Arabidopsis thaliana: one gene and its partners. The protein of the gene in region 2 interacts with the protein of the main gene of each other region in a pairwise test. Each region holds a gene or a part of one and is shown on either strand. Other genes may lie near its edges.

Region 1 (8,037 bases), on a different chromosome or scaffold from region 2:
CTTCATATTAAAAATAGAGTCATTTGGAAATATTATTAATAAAACTATTTATAAAATTAAATAGTACAGAATTTATAAAATGTAATATCATATAATTTATCCATATATGGCACGCATTCTTACCTAGTTTATCCTTAAATTATCAAGAAAAAAACAAATTTAAAAATATTTTCTACATTTATGTTAATAAGTAAATTTTACTTAAGTTAGGAAACATAGTATCAAATTTCTTATTTTACTTAAGTTAGGTTTTGAAGAATTAACCTCGATTTGTATCTATCGTGTTTTTAAAAAATGAAAATTGACATTTATCCTTAAATTTATAAGATATATTTGTAAATTGTATTGTTCTCATTAGTATACCCTAATCACTTTTCTATCTCTCTATAAATACCTGTAAATCTCATTCTAAAATAAAGTCAATACATTTAGCCTCTATATGGTACCAAAGCTTACAATTCTAAATGGTATAAAGAATATATATGATATATTGTGAAAATGTTGGTGCCACTTACCTCGGTACCAATCCGGTTTTCTATTCTCGAATGAACCATATATATAGCACTTAATTCAAGCTGGAATGCTTCAGATTACTCATGTCTCCATTGGTGATCAGTTAGCAAATACATTCACTAAATCTTTAGCGAAATCAATATTTCAAAAAAAAAGTTCCAAAATTAGAGCTACACGAGTACTTCCATACTAAAAGGACGTATAAAGAATATACATGTAAACCATATTGTTATATCCTAATCATTTTTTTCTATCTCTTAAATACTTGTAAATCTTAATTCTAATAAAGTTAATGTATTCGGCCTCTATAAAATTTTATTTTATATATACTTAATAAGTTATTTTCATACTCCATATGTTTCTTTTATTTGATTTTCTAGAAAAAAAATGTTTCAAAAAGATTAATTTTATAGGTTTTCAATACAATACTTATTAGTTATAATTGATAAATTGTAAACTTCAATAAAAATTATTGAATATTATTGGTTTAAAGTTATTAAAAATTTTAAATTATAAAAAATAGTACATTTAAAAAACAAGATTTAATATGTCTTTTTTTAATATTTATGTTTTTCCTAAAAAATCAAATAAAAAGAAATATTAAAAATATTATTTTCCTTTTTTTATTATTTTTCTTTTCAAATATCTATTTTCTAAATCCATATTATGTTTTTCTTTTATAAATAATCTCATTTCGCCATGGAGAACACGAGTAATTCTCCTGGTGTATGCCTAAAAAAAAAAGCAAAGATTATAATATGAGTATATATAATTATATATGACGTAACCTGCGAGATGTTGAATTGTCCACATTGTAATTGTCACGAACACTTAATTAAATCTTGCGAAAAAGAGATCTCAAAAATATCGCGAGAAAAAGAAAAAAAGGATAATATGAGAAAAGCCAAACGAAGAGTGCATCGAAAGCTGAGAGCGACATAATAAAGGAGAGAGAAAAATGTGGGGACCAGACTGGACGTGTGCACAGAATATTCACACTATTTGAATTTTGTTTTCGAATCCGCCACTCTATCTCCAAATCAACTTATCACTCAATTTGATAATAACTTAACCTACCTCTCTTATAAGGAAGCCTACTTATCACCGACGAAGACTCCGCTTATATCTGATAAGTCGGTAGAACGATGTCTCTGTGCAAAGAAGAACGCGTCCAAGAAAGCGAGGTCTAAAGTTTCTCAATCCCCCAATCTTCTCCTCCTTCTTTATATATTCTCTCTCTCTCTCTCCATTTTTCTCTAAAAGCTAGAGCTCTTCAAAACCCTAGAAATCCTCGAAATCAGAGTCTTTACCTGGGCTCGTGTCTTCAGAGCTCGGATTCGTGTTTCTTTCGTCGTCTCTCTTCTTCGTTTCTCGTCAGATTTGAGATTCGTTGAGAATGTCGTCGTTGAGTCGAGAGTTGGTGTTTCTGATACTTCAATTTCTGGAGGAAGAGAAATTTAAGGAATCTGTGCACAGGTTAGTCTATTTATATGGTTTGTTTTGTGTTGTGTTGTGAGAGGCTGAATTTTGGGATTGACTGATTTGTAATTTGTTAAATATAGGCTTGAGAAAGAGTCAGGATTCTTCTTCAATACCAAGTATTTTGATGAGAAAGTTCTAGCTGGAGAATGGGATGATGTTGAGACGTATTTGTCAGGTTTTACTAAGGTTGATGATAACAGATACTCTATGAAGATTTTCTTTGAAATTAGGAAGCAGAAGTATCTCGAGGCTCTTGATCGGTATGATTATAAGCTGTCTTATTTGTTTTTTTACTCTTGAAGATTTGTGGTTTTAGAGTTTGATGTTCTCTGTTGTTACAGGCAAGAGAAGGCAAAAGCAGTTGAGATACTAGTGCAAGATTTGAGAGTTTTCTCCACTTTCAATGAGGAGCTTTACAAAGAAATCACTCAACTCTTAACTTTGCAAAACTTTAGGTATGATATATTGAATTTTGATCTCTCCTTGTTGATGTTTCTGTTGTTATGGAAAGTAGGAATATGAGACTTGGTTTAGGTTCAGTCCAAGTCGAGTTCGTGATGCTTTGTAGACTGTTTTTGTTTGGATGTGAAAGAGGGTGTGATACTCGAGTTTCTCTCTCGATTGTTTGCGTTTTGTGGATTGAAATTTGACATCAATGATTTTCATGAATCTGCAGGGAAAATGAGCAGCTTTCAAAATATGGAGACACTAAAACTGCTCGGGGCATAATGCTAGGCGAACTTAAAAAACTAATTGAAGCGAATCCACTTTTTCGTGATAAATTGATGTTCCCTACTTTGAGATCTTCGAGACTGCGGACTCTGATTAATCAAAGGTGTGTTTCTTTTTTCTTTCCTCATGACCATTCTGTATGTTGCAGATGAGGTTTGGATGACTTCGTTGTTGGATGATTCATTGTGCATATGTTCTCTTGCAGCCTCAATTGGCAGCACCAGTTGTGCAAGAATCCTAGGCCAAACCCAGATATTAAAACTCTATTCACAGACCACACTTGCACACTTCCGAATGGTCCTCTCGCACCTTCAGCAGTCAATCAGCCTGTTACTACTTTGACGAAGCCAGCAGCTTATCCGTCACTTGGACCTCATGTTGTAAGAAACCTCGATGTTTGACTGCTTTAATCATGTTTTTTGAATCTAAATTAATCTTAATGTTTGTGGAATCTGTATTACATGTAGCCCTTTCCACCTGGTCCTGCTGCTGCTAATGCTGGTGCTTTAGCTAGTTGGATGGCTGCTGCCTCTGGTGCTTCTGCTGTCCAAGCTGCCGTTGTTACACCTGCCTTGATGCCTCAACCTCAGAATCAAAGTTAGTTTTTGACGATCCTCTAGATTTCTAATCCTCGACTTATCAATAACTATCATTTCAGTTTCCATCAAAAACTTATTATTTTTCTTCCAAAAAGTGTCAATCTTGAAGCGACCAAGAACACCACCAGCAACTCCAGGTATAGTAGATTATCAGAATCCTGATCATGAACTAATGAAGCGTCTCCGCCCTGCTCCATCTGTGGAGGAGGTAACGCGAATTCTTTTCTTTTTCTGGAAAGCTGTTTATATAATTCTTGCATCTTCTCAAAATTCTAAGCATTTATCATTTTCCAGGTGACATATCCTGCTCCTAGGCAGCAAGCTCCATGGTCGCTGGAAGATTTGCCAACAAAGGCAGCTCTGGCGCTGCATCAAGGGTCCACTGTGACAAGCATGGAGTTCTACCCTATGCAAAACACGTTACTTCTTGGTATGGGGGTTTGAAAAAAAGAATACAAATTCTAAACTGTGTTTGAAGTTATATTTCTGTTATCTCTTATTTGGCTTTCTGAATGACCGTTTGAATGCCATCAGTTGGATCTGCGACGGGAGAAATCACATTGTGGGAACTTGCCGCTCGAGAGAGGCTGGTTTCAAGGCCATTCAAGATATGGGATATGTCTAATTGCTCACATCAGTTTCAGGTTTGTCTTTACAGCTAAGAAGTTTTTAGTTTATGTGTTTGATGTATAAAGGCGGAATTCAACCAAATGGCTATGAGAAGTGTTGGAGATAAAACGTATCAGCAAACTAGTTGCTGTGCAAGATTCTTATACTTGCCTTTCTTTTGGCATCATTCAGGCTTTGATAGCTAAAGAAACACCGATATCTGTCACTCGCGTTGCATGGAGTCCGGATGGAAATTTCATTGGTAAGCTTCCCGTCATGCATTGTTGGATTTTAATTGTATGTTGTCTATGGTCTCTGGTCTCAGTCTCTTATTGTGCAGGGGTTGCGTTTACAAAACATCTAATTCAGTTGTACGCTTTCTCTGGACCTAATGATCTTCGCCAACATACTGAGGTAAGCATACTTGTGATCTGTACGAGAAATATTGCGATGTAATAATATCCCACTGAGACTAGATCACTTTTTCACAGATTGATGCCCATGTCGGTGCTGTGAACGACTTGGCTTTCGCCAATCCAAACAGACAACTATGTGTAATTACTTGCGGAGATGATAAATTAATCAAGGTGAGATAAAGAGTCACAAAGTTTCACTGTTAGATATCAATGCAGCTGGCTAACTTGATCAATGTGGAACAGGTATGGGATGTTTCTGGTCGGAAGCATTTTACTTTTGAAGGCCACGACGCTCCAGTTTATTCCATTTGCCCTCATTACAAAGAGAACATTCAGGTGCGGCAAGGATTGAATCAAACTATATTTTACATCAATTATTATACTGTTTTACCAATCCGTTTGAAGAACAATAAAGTAGACGACACATTTCATATAGTATTATCTTGCCTATGAATTTCTGTTCTTTACCAAAATACATCTCGTTCTTATTTGGATTTCAGTTCATATTTTCAACCGCCATAGATGGGAAAATAAAAGCCTGGCTTTATGATAATCTGGGTTCCAGAGTTGACTATGATGCTCCCGGTAAATGGTGTACGAGGATGCTTTACAGTGCTGATGGTACTAGGTAAGATCTTAAACTCATAAACATTTCCCTCTTCTATACCGCTTGTTCTTCACTCCTCAGTTTCCAAAATCTTCAGATTCTTTTGTTTACTCCGGAGGATACTGAGTTGTGTCCTTGAGTTTCTAATCTTATCTTTCTGTTTTAAGTTTACCTTTTCAGTGCTTTCTGATGTTTTTTCCCCCTTCAGATTGTTCTCTTGTGGAACGAGTAAAGATGGAGATTCTTTCCTAGTTGAGTGGAATGAAAGTGAAGGATCAATTAAAAGGACGTATAAAGAGTTTCAGAAAAAGTTGGCAGGTGTGGTTCAGTTCGATACCTCAAAAAACCATTTTCTGGCTGTTGGTGAAGATGGACAAATCAAATTTTGGGATATGAACAACATCAATGTTCTGACTAGCACTGATGCTGAGGGTGGACTTCCGGTAAGTCCCAAAGATTCTTTTTCCCATGGCTTGTTGCTTGGATGTTCGTCTTTTTAGGTTTGCATATAACTTGTCCCAACTTCAGGCTCTTCCCCATTTGAGATTTAACAAGGACGGCAATCTTCTAGCCGTTACTACGGCAGATAACGGATTTAAGATCCTAGCTAATCCAGCTGGTTTCCGATCTCTTCGAGCGATGGAAACTCCAGCTTCTGAAACGATGAGGACTCCAGTTGATTTCAAAGCTGTAATGTTTCTCAACTTTGTATTACATTTTTTCCCTTTTTTACATCCACTGTCATTACAAGCTGTCTCGGTTTACACACTTTGGTATATTCTGTTAGGTTCCTGGTGCTCCTGTTGCGTCTGTCAATTGTAAAGTTGAACGAGGCTCTCCTGTTAGACACTCACAAATGCTGGTAAAATCACTCATTAAATGCTATGTTTCTAGCCATTTCTATAATTTATTATTCTGTTCTGGATTTTCGGTTGTAAATGAAGTGAACTTCCATTTGTCGAAATTGTAGTTTACTATTCTCTGACTATAGTAGTTGACTGTTTCCGATTTTTTTGTCATGTTTAAAAAAAATATTTACTAATCTTTTTTTTCTGAATATCCTCAAGAATGGAGTTGATCCCTCAAAGTCGAGAATCGATGACTCAACAGACAAACCAAAATCTTGGCAATTAGCTGAAATCTTGGACCCTTCCCAGTGTTTCCAAGCTACTTTACCCGATACCGCTGGTTCTTCCACAAAGGTTTGTGCAGTTATCTTTCTCAGAAAGTTGTTGGATTTCTATAAATGTTTTGAAATTGAGGCTTAATTTTCTCATGCTGCGTGGGAAAGCAGGTTGTTCAGCTTCTGTATACGAATTCCGGTGCTGGAATCTTGGCACTAGGTTCCAATGGTATCCAGAGACTCTGGAAGTGGGTTCCCAATGAGCAGAACCCTAGTGGAAAGGTAATCGTAAAAAAGAGTTTGAGAGAGCTTAATGCATGCTGTCTGCGGTTTTAAAGAGTTAGAGATAGCTTAATGCATGCTGTGTGCGGTTTTATTTAAGTACTGTTTATTATGCAGGCAACTGCTACTGTTGTTCCTCAGCATTGGCAACCAAACAGTGGTCTTCTTATGACCAATGATGTGTCTGGTGTAAACCTTGAAAACGCTGCCCCATGCATCGCTCTCTCTAAGAACGACTCATATGTCATGTCTGCTGCTGGAGGAAAAGTCTCGTTGTTCAACATGATGACTTTTAAGGTATATATTATCTATATGAACTTAAAAAAAGCCACAAGATTTCTAACTGAAAATGTTCTCACACTAATCTAGTAAACTCTTTTGGTTGTTCTAATTTCCACAAAAAAACTATTGGCCTTATAGGTGATGACAACATTCATGCCGCCTCCACCAGCATCAACGTTTTTGGCGTTCCATCCTCAGGACAATAACGTCATCGCCATTGGAATGGAAGACTCTACGATTCACATCTATAATGTCCGAGTGGATGAGGTAAGTAGTTTCTAGTACTAACCATTGCCACTTATGTAGTCTTTTTGATCTATGACAAGGAAAAACTTGTGAACCTTACGTTTTTTGAAGAAATGGTTCTCATAGCTTCACATATGTTTTACAGTTTAATTTTCCCCTCACTGCTAATGTTGCCTTAAAACTCTATCAACGATCTGAAACTTGCATATTGTGTTCCATCAGGTCAAATCAAAGCTAAAGGGTCACCAGAAACGCATCACAGGCCTAGCATTTTCTACAGCCCTCAACATCTTGGTTTCATCTGGTGCTGATGCACAGGTGTGTTATGCTGCGTCTTGTTGTTGTTGTTGTTGTCCTGTAGTAAATATATCTCAACTGAAGGGAAAAATGCTTGATTATTTTGTGTTGTTTCCTTGCTGGATTTTCTACCATTAGACTTATCTAATCTAGGAGGATACTTATTCTTCCTGTTGTCTTCTCTTAGATCTGCTTTTGGAGCATTGACACATGGGAGAAGAGGAAATCCGTTGCAATACAAATGCCAGCAGGAAAAGCCGCCAATGGAGACACGCGGGTTCAGTTTCATGTGGATCAGTTGCGTATTCTGGTAGTCCACGAGACACAACTGGCGGTATTTGATGCTTCCAAGATGGAATGTATCCGACAGGTATCTATGACTATGATGAGATCATCTCTGTAAATCCACTTATATAAAATGGATCATCTCTGACCTGGCATGTATATATGAAATGCAAGGTCATATATACATATTCTTAATCATTATTTTGAAATTTGTAATGACTTATGTTCTCTTGTTTTCATGTCTCAGTGGATTCCACAAGACTCGCTGTCTGCTCCTATATCTTCAGCGGTGTACGCATGCAACAGCCAGCTGATCTACACCACTTTCCGCGATGGTAACATTGGAGTATTTGACGCGGACAGTCTCAGATTAAGATGTCGTATCTCTCCATCCGCCTACTTGCCTCAAGGGTAAGTTTATCCAACATTTCATCAGATTCTTATTTCTAAATCACTGTACTTTGTAAGGTTTGGTACATGAATCTGTATAATAGACTTAAATTGACTTCTGAAACATGAGAAATTGGTATATTTTCATAAGCCAAAATAGTTATAAACTCTTCT
Region 2 (5,133 bases):
CTTTGTTTTGCTTCCTCGCTCCAAAATCTTTTCCCTTTTCATTCCCAATGTTCGATTTTGGCTCTCCTTCTTCATCTTCATCCTTGTGTTGCTGATCCTTCTTAGGCTTTTTCCGTTTCTGGGTTTTGGATTTAGCTGGTTTTCGGAAATCAGTGTCGTTGAAACCCGAAGAAGGAAGAGCAGAAGCTAAGCCAATAGAAGAAGCGAATGATGCGATATCAGATGTGAGAAGACTCAAGTCCTGCGATGATTTACTCAAAGGCTTTATCTTTGACATTTTTTCTCAAAGCATATGAAGAGGGTTAAGAGAGTTTTGTGAGAGATGACTGTTTTTAAAAGAACTGAGACAGTTAGGTTTAAGCAATCTCTGTGCTTTGAGATCGAACAATGAAAAAGAAAGATAAACTTCAATGTTTGGGGTTCAACAGAAATTTTTAGGGTTTTAGAAAACGGCAAGAGAGAAGCAGACAGAGGAAATGGTAGAAGGCTAATTTCGTAATTACGGGATAAGACAAGGGCAAAACAGACTTAACGACCTAAAATCAATGAGACGATGTTTTTTCATTAAGGTTGGGTTCCTGAGACGGTCCAGCCCAATCGCTAGAACATTCAATGCAAATCCATAACTGGTGAGATTTCGATCATGTGGTAAAATATTATACTAATATCTTTGATAGAAACATTATATGTATATCTTTGAAACCTATTATAGGTTAATATACTTTTGCCACTTAGAAAAATTACTAACAACGCAAATCCATCACTGGTGAGATTATATCAGGTGATTAAAAAATTTCGATAAAGGGTAATCCAGATGACAATTTTAATTAAAGAATCTAAAAAACAAGTATCAAAATATGTATGTTTTGAAATATAAATACTAGCTACGTAATACAGTACTATAAATAACTTAAATTGGTCAAAAGTAATGGAAGAAAATATAAAAGGGTATTTGGGTTCAAATCCTAAATAAGTGAAAACTAGAAACGTGAACTCGATCGTGCATTTTATACGCCCTAAAGCTTGAGTTCAAGGTTTTTGGAAGATTGTCCTTCTTTCTTGTCCACCTCCATCGGCATATGGTTATGGGCCTTTGGTTTTGGAGGAGTTGCAATGTGTTGCGACGATTGGCCTGACTTTATCGATGGAGCAACCATCTCTGGCTTGGGAGGAAGATGACTACCGTGTTGGTTCACTTGATATGGAGCTCTAGCCACAGCCCTGAAATCAAAACAATTAATCAACATTTAAGACAAAGTAGATATTGAAGTTTTGATTTACAAAGAACTCTTAGTTAGTGTTTTTTAACTAGAAATTTCTCGACATTTTACTAATAATTTTCCTAGATCAAGGACACATAGATGATGGACTCATATCTCTTATATACTACTCTAGGTCCCATCTCGAATTTCATTGTAACTTGTAAGATTTTTTACATGTTCTTTATAAATGATGACACTTGAGTCACATCTCGAAATCTTACTCTAGGAATCATAATTCATAAACATACTAGGACCACCCTATGTTCAATTTCATGAATGTTCAACTTAAACTTGATTGGTAATACGCTTCTAATCCGATGTGGGATTCCTAGAATAACTCGAATAAGTCTTAATATGGTAATTATTAGCTATTTTTACATATAACTTTTTTAAGAAACTTTGATCCTAATCTATGCATACATTTTGACGAGCGGCCTAGAAAAAGCATAACCAAGCACAAAACAGTTTCGGAGTTTAGTTTACCTGTCTTTTCGTTTAGCAAAGAATCGATGAAGAGAAGCTCTTCTTGCAATGCGTTCCACAACCTGATGTTGCTGCCCAGTTTCTTGATCTTCATTGTTCCCGGAACTCGTTGGCTCGTTAAGATCGGGAATCACCACGTTGCTTTTGTCAAGATTCATGTGACTCTGACTGTTCTTAGAATCAACAGCAACATGATTCGCTTCTTTAGCTACTTCCATTATCTCCTTAGCTTTGTCTTCAGGAAACTCGTTGAAAACCATAACTTTTCCTCCAAAGAATATGGTCAACTGTGAATTTCCAGACTCCGGTGCTACTTTTGCCGGTTCACTAAAATCAAATCAAACCCATTTTTACAATTAGTCAAACTCCATAGTCCATACATCTATAACCGGTAGTTCTTTCTCTAATTCAATTGCTACAAAATGTGAAAACAAACACTTTAGGAGTTCGAATACATATGAAGTTTGTGTGTACAGTACCTGAGATCAATATATATGGCTTTGTCTTCGGTAGAAGTAGAGGCCTCACCAATAGAAAACTTCTGAATCAACTTGAACGGTCTAGTTTCTGAGGTCTCTACCTTCTTAATCACATTTTGTTGTCCTAAAACAAATTAGAACAGAAATTGCAAACCGATTAAAATTTATCAAAATCAAATTACATGTTTATTACGTTTTTTAAAAAACTTCACAGAATCTCTAACTTTAATATACTTAAGCTGTCCAAAATAATACCATGCTTAAGTTTAAAGAAAAGAAAAGAAAAAAATGATTTAAAATTTTGCATTTCAACAAAAAAAATATATAGTTAAACTTTATGCTAATAATCAACGAAGCAGGATACTAAAAGTATATGATATAAACTTTGGTCTTTATAGGCGGCGGCCGTCGGAATAGATAGGGAAAAATAAATAAATACCTTTGAGATCGAATTTTCCGGCGAGTTCAAGATCGGATTTTCGAGCCAACCCCATATTAATATTCCCAAAACTTCCCTTCTCCTTCAAGTACCGGCTGAGCAGACTACATCTCTGAGAAAAATTGGACTTCTCCGGCGCTTGTCCCGTTGACATACTAGTGTGATGAAGATTACAACAACCCAAGATTTTCTTGTGTGACTTCTTTACACGTACAAAAAATCGAGGATTCCAAAGAGTATGTAGATGTTTTGAGCTTTTTGCTCATGTGTTGTTGTTATAAATAACCAATTCTAGCCAATAAGTTTCTGTGGCTTTTAACCTCTCCCGAATAAATAAAGAAAACGAAATAACGTGTTCTTTTTTTTTATTTAGTCTGAAGTGACAGTGATGTGTGTCCAATATAGAATGTTTTTGTCACGAGTTTTGTAACTTTTTTTTTTACACCTAACTGATCGATAGACATTTTTTTTTTTTTTTTGAACACAAAACTGATCAATAGACTAAACACACATTTTTCTTATGATGGTTCAAGAAGAAGAAATTCTTTTTATGGTCAAACATATTATAGGCTATTAATTTCCTATATCCTCAAATGTTTTGTCACGAATAGAAATAGGGAAATAAATTATATGCGGAAAAAATGATTTATTCCTATGGTTGATTACAAAAATCAAACTACAATGTTCGTTACAAGTTCCGGCACGTTTTCATTGCACAAGCCGTGAAGAAACTGTTGTAAGTTGACGGCGACATTACATAAAGGCGTTAACCCATTTAATTCATTCGGGTCCCAAGAGTTTCTGTTAAATACTAATTTACCCTTCTGAGGTAATTCGTTTAGTGGTGGTTAGGATATTCGTTATTAAAGGGCGTAAATGAGGGCATTTGCAAACGCTATAGTCTAACGGAGTTCTGACGGAGTTAAGTCTCGCGTCGGCTGCGATGGCTAATACGAATTTAATATGTGGGATCCATTAGCAACAGTACGACTTGTGAGTGGATATTTATCGATGAATGGTGTCAATTACTTATCCCCGACAAAGTTTAAGGACACGTGAAGTATTGTTATGTGCGTTTAGGATGTCAACACGTGTCGGAATCTTGGCGGTACCAACCTTATTTCATGCATGATTTGCGTTTTTTTTCCCTCTTTGCTAAAGGATATTATAGCGTTCATACTTCATAGGCCTAATTTTCTTTTCTGTTTTTAATTACAAAAACTGAGTGTAATTAATATTAGAATTTGTGGTTTTGTATGTTGGTAAAAGGTTAACGATTTCTGTTTAGTCCTAATATGAATTTTGTTACTTGCTCAGTTAAATATTATTTCTATAACAATAATAATAATAAAATCTTTTAATCGTTTTGTTCAATGAAGTCGAGCGTTGAATTTTATTTGAATAAGAGGCAATGCCAAAGAGTACCAAAAAAGAATTTAAAACAAAATGTCGTAGACGATCGCGCCAAGGGAAAAAATCATTTTTATTGAATTATTTATCGCAACTTGCAAAATGAGAACATAATACTTTGAACTTTGAAGACTCTTCAATATCATATGATTTCAAGAGTTGAACAACAACTTGAGTCTAATATATACACATGTATGTGTGTATTTAATTACACAATATAGATCCATTGTCATTTTCTAATACATACAAAAGACCAAATAATATTCGCTATTTCACATGAAGATTATCTACATTGTTGGAAGCGCAAGTTGGGTTTCGATCACATATTTGATCATGTCCAAAATAAGGGAATGTCATATTCTAACAGATTTGATATGCAAAAATCAAGATTGTGAGAAGATTCTACTAAGACTACCAAACCAACGTTAACGGCAAAAAAGAAAAGGCAACGGCGAAACCTTCCGGTCACCACTCGAAGTTGGACTCTCCTTTAAGCAATAGAGTATATCAACATTTATCAAATAAATAGTTGTTGTTTTGAGACCTAAGTTCATATATGGACATAATCAAGATGGTGTCAACAGTTTTGGGTTAGGTGTGCTTCAGACTTAATCTTTGAGCTGGGTAAGATTTCCTTTCTATCTAGTGTTACGAGCTAGCGTGTCTCTGTAACAGGTTGTCTTCGGGTAAGTTTGGTCTTGCAGCTTGAGCTTGTGGTGGGAATTCTCTGTACAGTCGTTATCTTCATAAATAAAATGGTACTTATCAGAAAATAAAATAAAATTAGAAGACAATATTGAAAGATTATACAACTCATTTGCATTGACGTATGACAATACTAAACATAAAATTTGTTTAAAATTTAGGGGTAACGACTACGAATGTAGGTCCGTTTTACAACAATGACTAAAACAAATTGGTTCTTTGACACCGACAGATACTTTGGATGTGAACACCAAAATGTTGCAGCTTCTTCACATGCTCCTCTTGTACTATGACAATAACATATGTGCCTAAAGATTATCGCATATTAATAAGTATCCATTACATGCGGAACAGG
Region 3 (5,197 bases), on a different chromosome or scaffold from region 2:
ATTTATTTTGTTCTTTTTTATTATTTTTGCACACTTTTTTTTTTTTTTGCTCGCATAAAATAAACAAATTTTAAAAATATATATATAGTATTAAAAAAGAAGCTGATATGGAAAAGTCATAAACAATAAATAAAACTTTAACCAAAAGAAGAATAAAATTTTTGAACGTTAGTATCCGTTGTATAAAAGTGTATATATTAAGTTCCAACTGTATTTTTTTCTCATATCTATTTATTTATTTTTCCTTTTTATTATATGTGTCGTTTTAAAGTTTTTGTTTTACTCTTCTGTAATGTATTATACAGAAATAACATAATTATAAATAAGCTGGATTTTACCAATTATTTAATATAAAACGGAAAGGGTATGTTGTTGAAGATACTTGATGTTTTAAAATTTGAAGTTGTTGTAGTCATTGTTAAGGGTCGGCTGATGAGTCAGGACAACTCATTGAAACCATTTATTCGATGTTTCAAATATTAAACAAATAGACAGAAGATTCTACTATCTTCTTCAAAAATATAATATTAAACACAAGTCTTTGTTTCTTTGCTAGCTCTAGTTACAGAAATTTTGAATTAAAGCTATGAAAATAACTTTACGTTTAGTAAATTGCTAAAATATTCAGAGCGATCAGAAAGGAATGTTTGCTCTCTCATCTTAAAATTATATATTTGAGGTGATGCTTCTTCACCAACATGGGCAGATGGGCTTATGGAACCATTTGCTGATTAATTGCAGTCATTGATAACTGTCTGGGTGTGTCATTGTCATCAAAGTGATTGTTCAAGGAAAACATGTTTGGGACGAAATTGATTCCCAATCATGTTTAGCAATTGGGCCAGTCAATTCCCCCGATAATCTAGACCTAAAAGCCCAAACCAATGTAAGCAATACTGGTGTAGGAATACTTGTAAGAAGATTTGATATGACTCCTACTAGAACCATAATGTGGATGGACTGTTGAAGTAGCATAGTAATTACTAGCCAAAACATCCATGGGAAAAAAAATAAAGTACAAATATAAATTTTGATTTTTTTTTTTTTTATAAATAGAACAAAACTAAACATGTGAATAGGCCATATCTCTTAAATTCCTAACAAATTAGCATAATATATTCACGGAAATGCGTTACAAACCGTATTATAGAATAAAACTCCACTTTTTACTGTGAATTACTATAACAAAAAAGAAAGAATACACATTTGTAAAATTCACTTATTTGTTACCACATAAGATTTATATTTTTCCAAAAGTAAATTATCCATAAAACCTTTAATTTGTTTTTTTGACAATAAAAGATGAAGAAAATAAAATTTAATTAATTTGCGTACTACATAACTGGAAATAAAAATATCACATCTGATTTACTGCTATTCTTCTCTAAATTAAAAACTTCAAAATCCATTACTTAAATAATTAATTCATAAAAAAAATATTTGCAATATTAATTGACGGTTAGTTGATGTCATAAAAATAATATAATGGCACTAAATTCTATACAGAAACAGAAATAAACCAATTATGAGATACTCTACTTTAATGTATAGTTTGAAAAACAAAAAAAAATCCCCAGCTACGTTCAAAACCTAACGAGAGAGCATTAAATTAGACAGCAGTGTTGTACTAGATTCGCAACAACATCAATACGTCACTTAAATTAAAATAAAATACGAAAACATTAAATTAAAATAAATTTTAGAAAAAGTAATTAAAACGAAGGTTACTTATTATAGTGGGGAGATTAAGCTTTTTGAGTAAATTCCTATCTACAAAATACACGCTTCTATTAAAAAAAATAGAAGCCCAACGACCACACAAAAACAAATTAATTAAATCATAAAAACTCATAAATTAAAATAAAAAGCAATAAATCCAAAAAAAAAAAAAGGAAACTCCGAAAACGAGACAGCATCAGAAATTATCGCCATAAATAGCCCCCACGTCTCTCTCTCTCTCTTCTCCAAAGTCTTCTTCTTCTTCTTCTTCTTCTTCCTCTTCTTCCTCTCTGCTTTGTCTCTCTCCTTCTTCAAAGTCAAAATTCAACAGGTATTTATATTTATAAACTTTCCTTTTTTTCTTTAATCTCTTTCTCGGGAGCCTCTCTCGTATATTCTCGCACGTGCACATCTCGTGCCACCTGGGTTTGGGGGGATTCGTCTTTCGAATTCGATCGATTTCGTTTTTTTTTTTAGATCTGTCTTTCCTTTTTTGGGGTGTGAAGAAGATGTTTTCTTTTATAAAACCCTAATTCTCTCTTTGTGTCTTTGTGTTTGATTAGTGGTTCATGAGTGGTATTGTGATCGATCTGTTACTTTCGGAGAGCGAGCAATAAGAAGAGGATATGTCGTCACTCAGCAGAGAACTCGTGTTTTTAATACTTCAGTTTCTCGATGAAGAGAAATTCAAAGATACTGTTCACAGGTAATTTATATTATATCATTGTTTAATTGCGGTCCCTCTTCCTTTGATTGTCGGGATTAGAGTAAAGTAGGGATTAAGATTAATTAATTTTGATTTTGTAATTTAGCATTATTTCTTCAATGTTAATCCAGAAGCAGTTACAACTTTGGATATTTTTTTTGACTAATTAGGTTGGAGAAAGAGTCTGGTTTTTTCTTCAACATGAGGTACTTTGAAGATAGTGTAACAGCTGGTGAATGGGATGATGTAGAGAAGTATCTTTCTGGATTCACTAAAGTTGATGATAATAGATACTCTATGAAAATATTTTTCGAGATTCGGAAGCAGAAGTACCTTGAAGCACTTGACAAGTAAAGTTTCACTTGTGTTGTTTAGTTTTATTGAATTGAAGTGTGGTTTTGAGTATTGATTTGTTTTCCCATCTTTTGTTTTACCATAGGAAAGATCATGCCAAGGCGGTTGATATTCTTGTTAAGGAGTTGAAAGTGTTCTCGACATTCAACGAAGAGCTTTTTAAGGAGATTACCATGCTTTTAACCTTGACTAACTTCAGGTACATTCTTTACTTTCTTAGCACTTTTTTTTTATGGTTTCATTGACCACTGGATTGTTATAAACCATGCGCTTGTGGTGTTGATGTTTCATTTACTTGCAATAATTCAAGGGAAAATGAGCAGCTTTCCAAGTATGGAGATACTAAGTCCGCAAGAGGTATCATGCTTGGGGAACTTAAAAAACTGATTGAAGCAAATCCTCTCTTCCGAGACAAACTTCAATTTCCCAGTTTGAAGAATTCTAGATTGAGAACCTTAATAAATCAAAGGTACAAGCTTTGTTTTTTTAACTTTTGCTCCCGTTTTTCTTTTGGTGGAACAACTAACTGAACGTTGCTTCTGCTGAATCATAGTTTGAACTGGCAACATCAGCTTTGCAAGAATCCTAGGCCTAACCCGGATATAAAAACACTATTTGTTGACCATACGTGTGGGCATCCCAATGGTGCACACACTCCTTCCCCTACAACTAATCATTTAATGGGTTCAGTCCCTAAAGTTGGAGGCTTCCCACCATTAGGTGCTCACGGTGTAAGTTGCTCTAAGATTACAGCTTCTGTTGGATTAGTTTTTAGCACATGAATTTAACTTTGCTAGTTTGTATGCTCTTGTTCAGCCATTTCAGCCAACACCAGCTCCTCTTACAACATCTCTTGCAGGATGGATGCCTAATCCATCGGTACAACACCCTACTGTTTCCGCTGGGCCTATCGGCTTAGGTGCCCCCAACAGTGCTGGTAATGTTGTCCCTACTAATTTTATTCTTCTGAAATATGTGTGTTGGAGATTTAGTTTACCAAATATTAGCTTATACGGTTATGTAATTTGCCATCCCTTGTTTAGATCATCATTAGTTGGATGGTTATCTGTGCTTCTTTGACTGACTGAACTGCATGAAATGATATAAATATATTTACTGAGTTACATTTTCCAGAGCTGTAGTGGTAAACTGTCTCTCTTTTCTTTTACGGACTAAAGCAGTTTTTAGTGGTAAACTGTCTCTATGGTGGATTAGAGAGAGAGAGAGAACTATATGCTCATATCAGCCGTTTTGTTTAATTTCACAATACTCTTGTTTATAGATAATAGATAGAGAAGCAAACATTTAATTTAATGTCAGATAGCCTTGAAGTGCTGTCTTAGGTCTGAAACTTTTATTTATTTCATTTTTTGTAGTCCATAACGTGGAGATCAGTTTGTGTGTGTTTACCAATTGCATAGCTTACCATAATCTATTTATTCTTCTTTTTTTCCTTGCAGTGTCTATGTTAAAGCGTGAGCGTCCCAGGAGTCCTCCAACTAATAGCCTATCAATGGATTATCAGACGGCAGATTCTGAAAGTGTGTTGAAGAGACCCAGACCTTTTGGTATTTCAGATGGGGTATTAACGGCTGCTTGTTCGTTTTTCAGCTTAAGTTCTCAACTTTTCTTAGAAGTCACAACTTTCTTTGAACATTTTACAGGTTAATAATCTTCCAGTCAATGTCTTGCCAGTCACATATCCAGGGCAAAGCCATGCTCATGCAACTTATTCTACTGATGACTTGCCCAAAAACGTTAGCAGGATTTTGAGTCAGGGTTCTGCCATTAAGAGCATGGATTTTCATCCAGTACAGCAAACTATGCTCCTTGGTTGGTTTTCTCCTCTGAAGCACGCATCATTCTTCTGTTTTATTCTGGTTTATGCCAGAGAAACCTGCAAAACTTGTATCAGACAGCATAACTTTCATCTTCTCAGTACAATCTGCTTACTTTATCTTGGATTTACATTTGTTTCCTAGTTGGCACCAATCTTGGTGATATTGCAATATGGGAGGTGGGTAGCAGGGAGAAGCTCGTTTCTAGAAGCTTTAAAGTTTGGGATCTTGCTACTTGCACTGTGAACCTTCAGGTATAGTTCCTCTTTATTGATCTACTGTAACAGTCGAATGAGGTGGGAGATTTGTTGTTAGTTAGTTAAAACTATACAGAGGATTTTCTTCTCTTTTTAGTGAGGAACATATCAAGGTTAATAGCTAGTTTTCTGAGATAGATTACTCATAAAAGCTTTCAATATTGCCACGTACTATATCAAGGACATCTTTATCTTTTGCTGACCCGTTGTCTGATTTCATTCTTGTTCATTAGGCTTCACTTGCTAGCGAGTATACTGCAGCAGTAAACCGAGTTGTTTGGAGTCCTGATGGAGGTCTACTGGGTAAGCCATTCTATGATCTT

What was found.
Region 1: the proteins of JAZ6 (region 2) and TPR3 interact in a two-hybrid assay, tested with the Arabidopsis thaliana proteins (one study listed by BioGRID).
Region 3: the proteins of JAZ6 (region 2) and WSIP2 interact in a two-hybrid assay, tested with the Arabidopsis thaliana proteins (one study listed by BioGRID).

The regions. Positions count from the first base shown.
Region 1 is NC_003076.8:9,509,136-9,517,172, reverse strand, and holds the start of TPR3 (TOPLESS-related 3), read left to right. Parts: upstream 1-1,765; 5' UTR 1,766-1,909; coding exon 1,910-1,989; intron 1,990-2,075; coding exon 2,076-2,255; intron 2,256-2,336; coding exon 2,337-2,450; intron 2,451-2,671; coding exon 2,672-2,830; intron 2,831-2,932; coding exon 2,933-3,107; intron 3,108-3,194; coding exon 3,195-3,324; intron 3,325-3,421; coding exon 3,422-3,534; intron 3,535-3,620; coding exon 3,621-3,756; intron 3,757-3,860; coding exon 3,861-3,970; intron 3,971-4,127; coding exon 4,128-4,349; intron 4,350-4,426; coding exon 4,427-4,522; intron 4,523-4,594; coding exon 4,595-4,687; intron 4,688-4,851; coding exon 4,852-4,979; intron 4,980-5,166; coding exon 5,167-5,401; intron 5,402-5,486; coding exon 5,487-5,648; intron 5,649-5,745; coding exon 5,746-5,820; intron 5,821-6,025; coding exon 6,026-6,160; intron 6,161-6,252; coding exon 6,253-6,363; intron 6,364-6,480; coding exon 6,481-6,660; intron 6,661-6,783; and 8 more. UniProt on the Arabidopsis thaliana protein: Transcriptional corepressor. Negative regulator of jasmonate responses.
Region 2 is NC_003070.9:27,273,320-27,278,452, forward strand, and holds JAZ6 (jasmonate-zim-domain protein 6), read right to left. Parts: upstream 3,244-5,133; 5' UTR 2,818-3,243; coding exon 2,664-2,817; intron 2,349-2,663; coding exon 2,225-2,348; intron 2,073-2,224; coding exon 1,746-2,072; coding exon of another isoform or gene 1,742-1,745; exon of another isoform or gene 1,222-1,741; coding exon 1,017-1,221; 3' UTR 649-1,016; downstream 1-648. Other genes in the region: EDA25 (CCAAT-binding factor), read right to left, coding at 1-277. UniProt on the Arabidopsis thaliana protein: Repressor of jasmonate responses.
Region 3 is NC_003074.8:5,369,018-5,374,214, reverse strand, and holds the start of WSIP2 (WUS-interacting protein 2), read left to right. Parts: upstream 1-1,925; 5' UTR 1,926-2,050; exon of another isoform or gene 2,051-2,282; 5' UTR 2,283-2,345; coding exon 2,346-2,425; intron 2,426-2,595; coding exon 2,596-2,775; intron 2,776-2,864; coding exon 2,865-2,978; intron 2,979-3,089; coding exon 3,090-3,248; intron 3,249-3,332; coding exon 3,333-3,510; intron 3,511-3,595; coding exon 3,596-3,716; intron 3,717-4,239; coding exon 4,240-4,361; intron 4,362-4,443; coding exon 4,444-4,612; intron 4,613-4,761; coding exon 4,762-4,871; intron 4,872-5,107; coding exon 5,108-5,177; intron 5,178-5,197. UniProt on the Arabidopsis thaliana protein: Transcription corepressor of Zinc finger transcription factors GAF1/IDD2 and ENY/IDD1 in regulation of gibberellin homeostasis and signaling.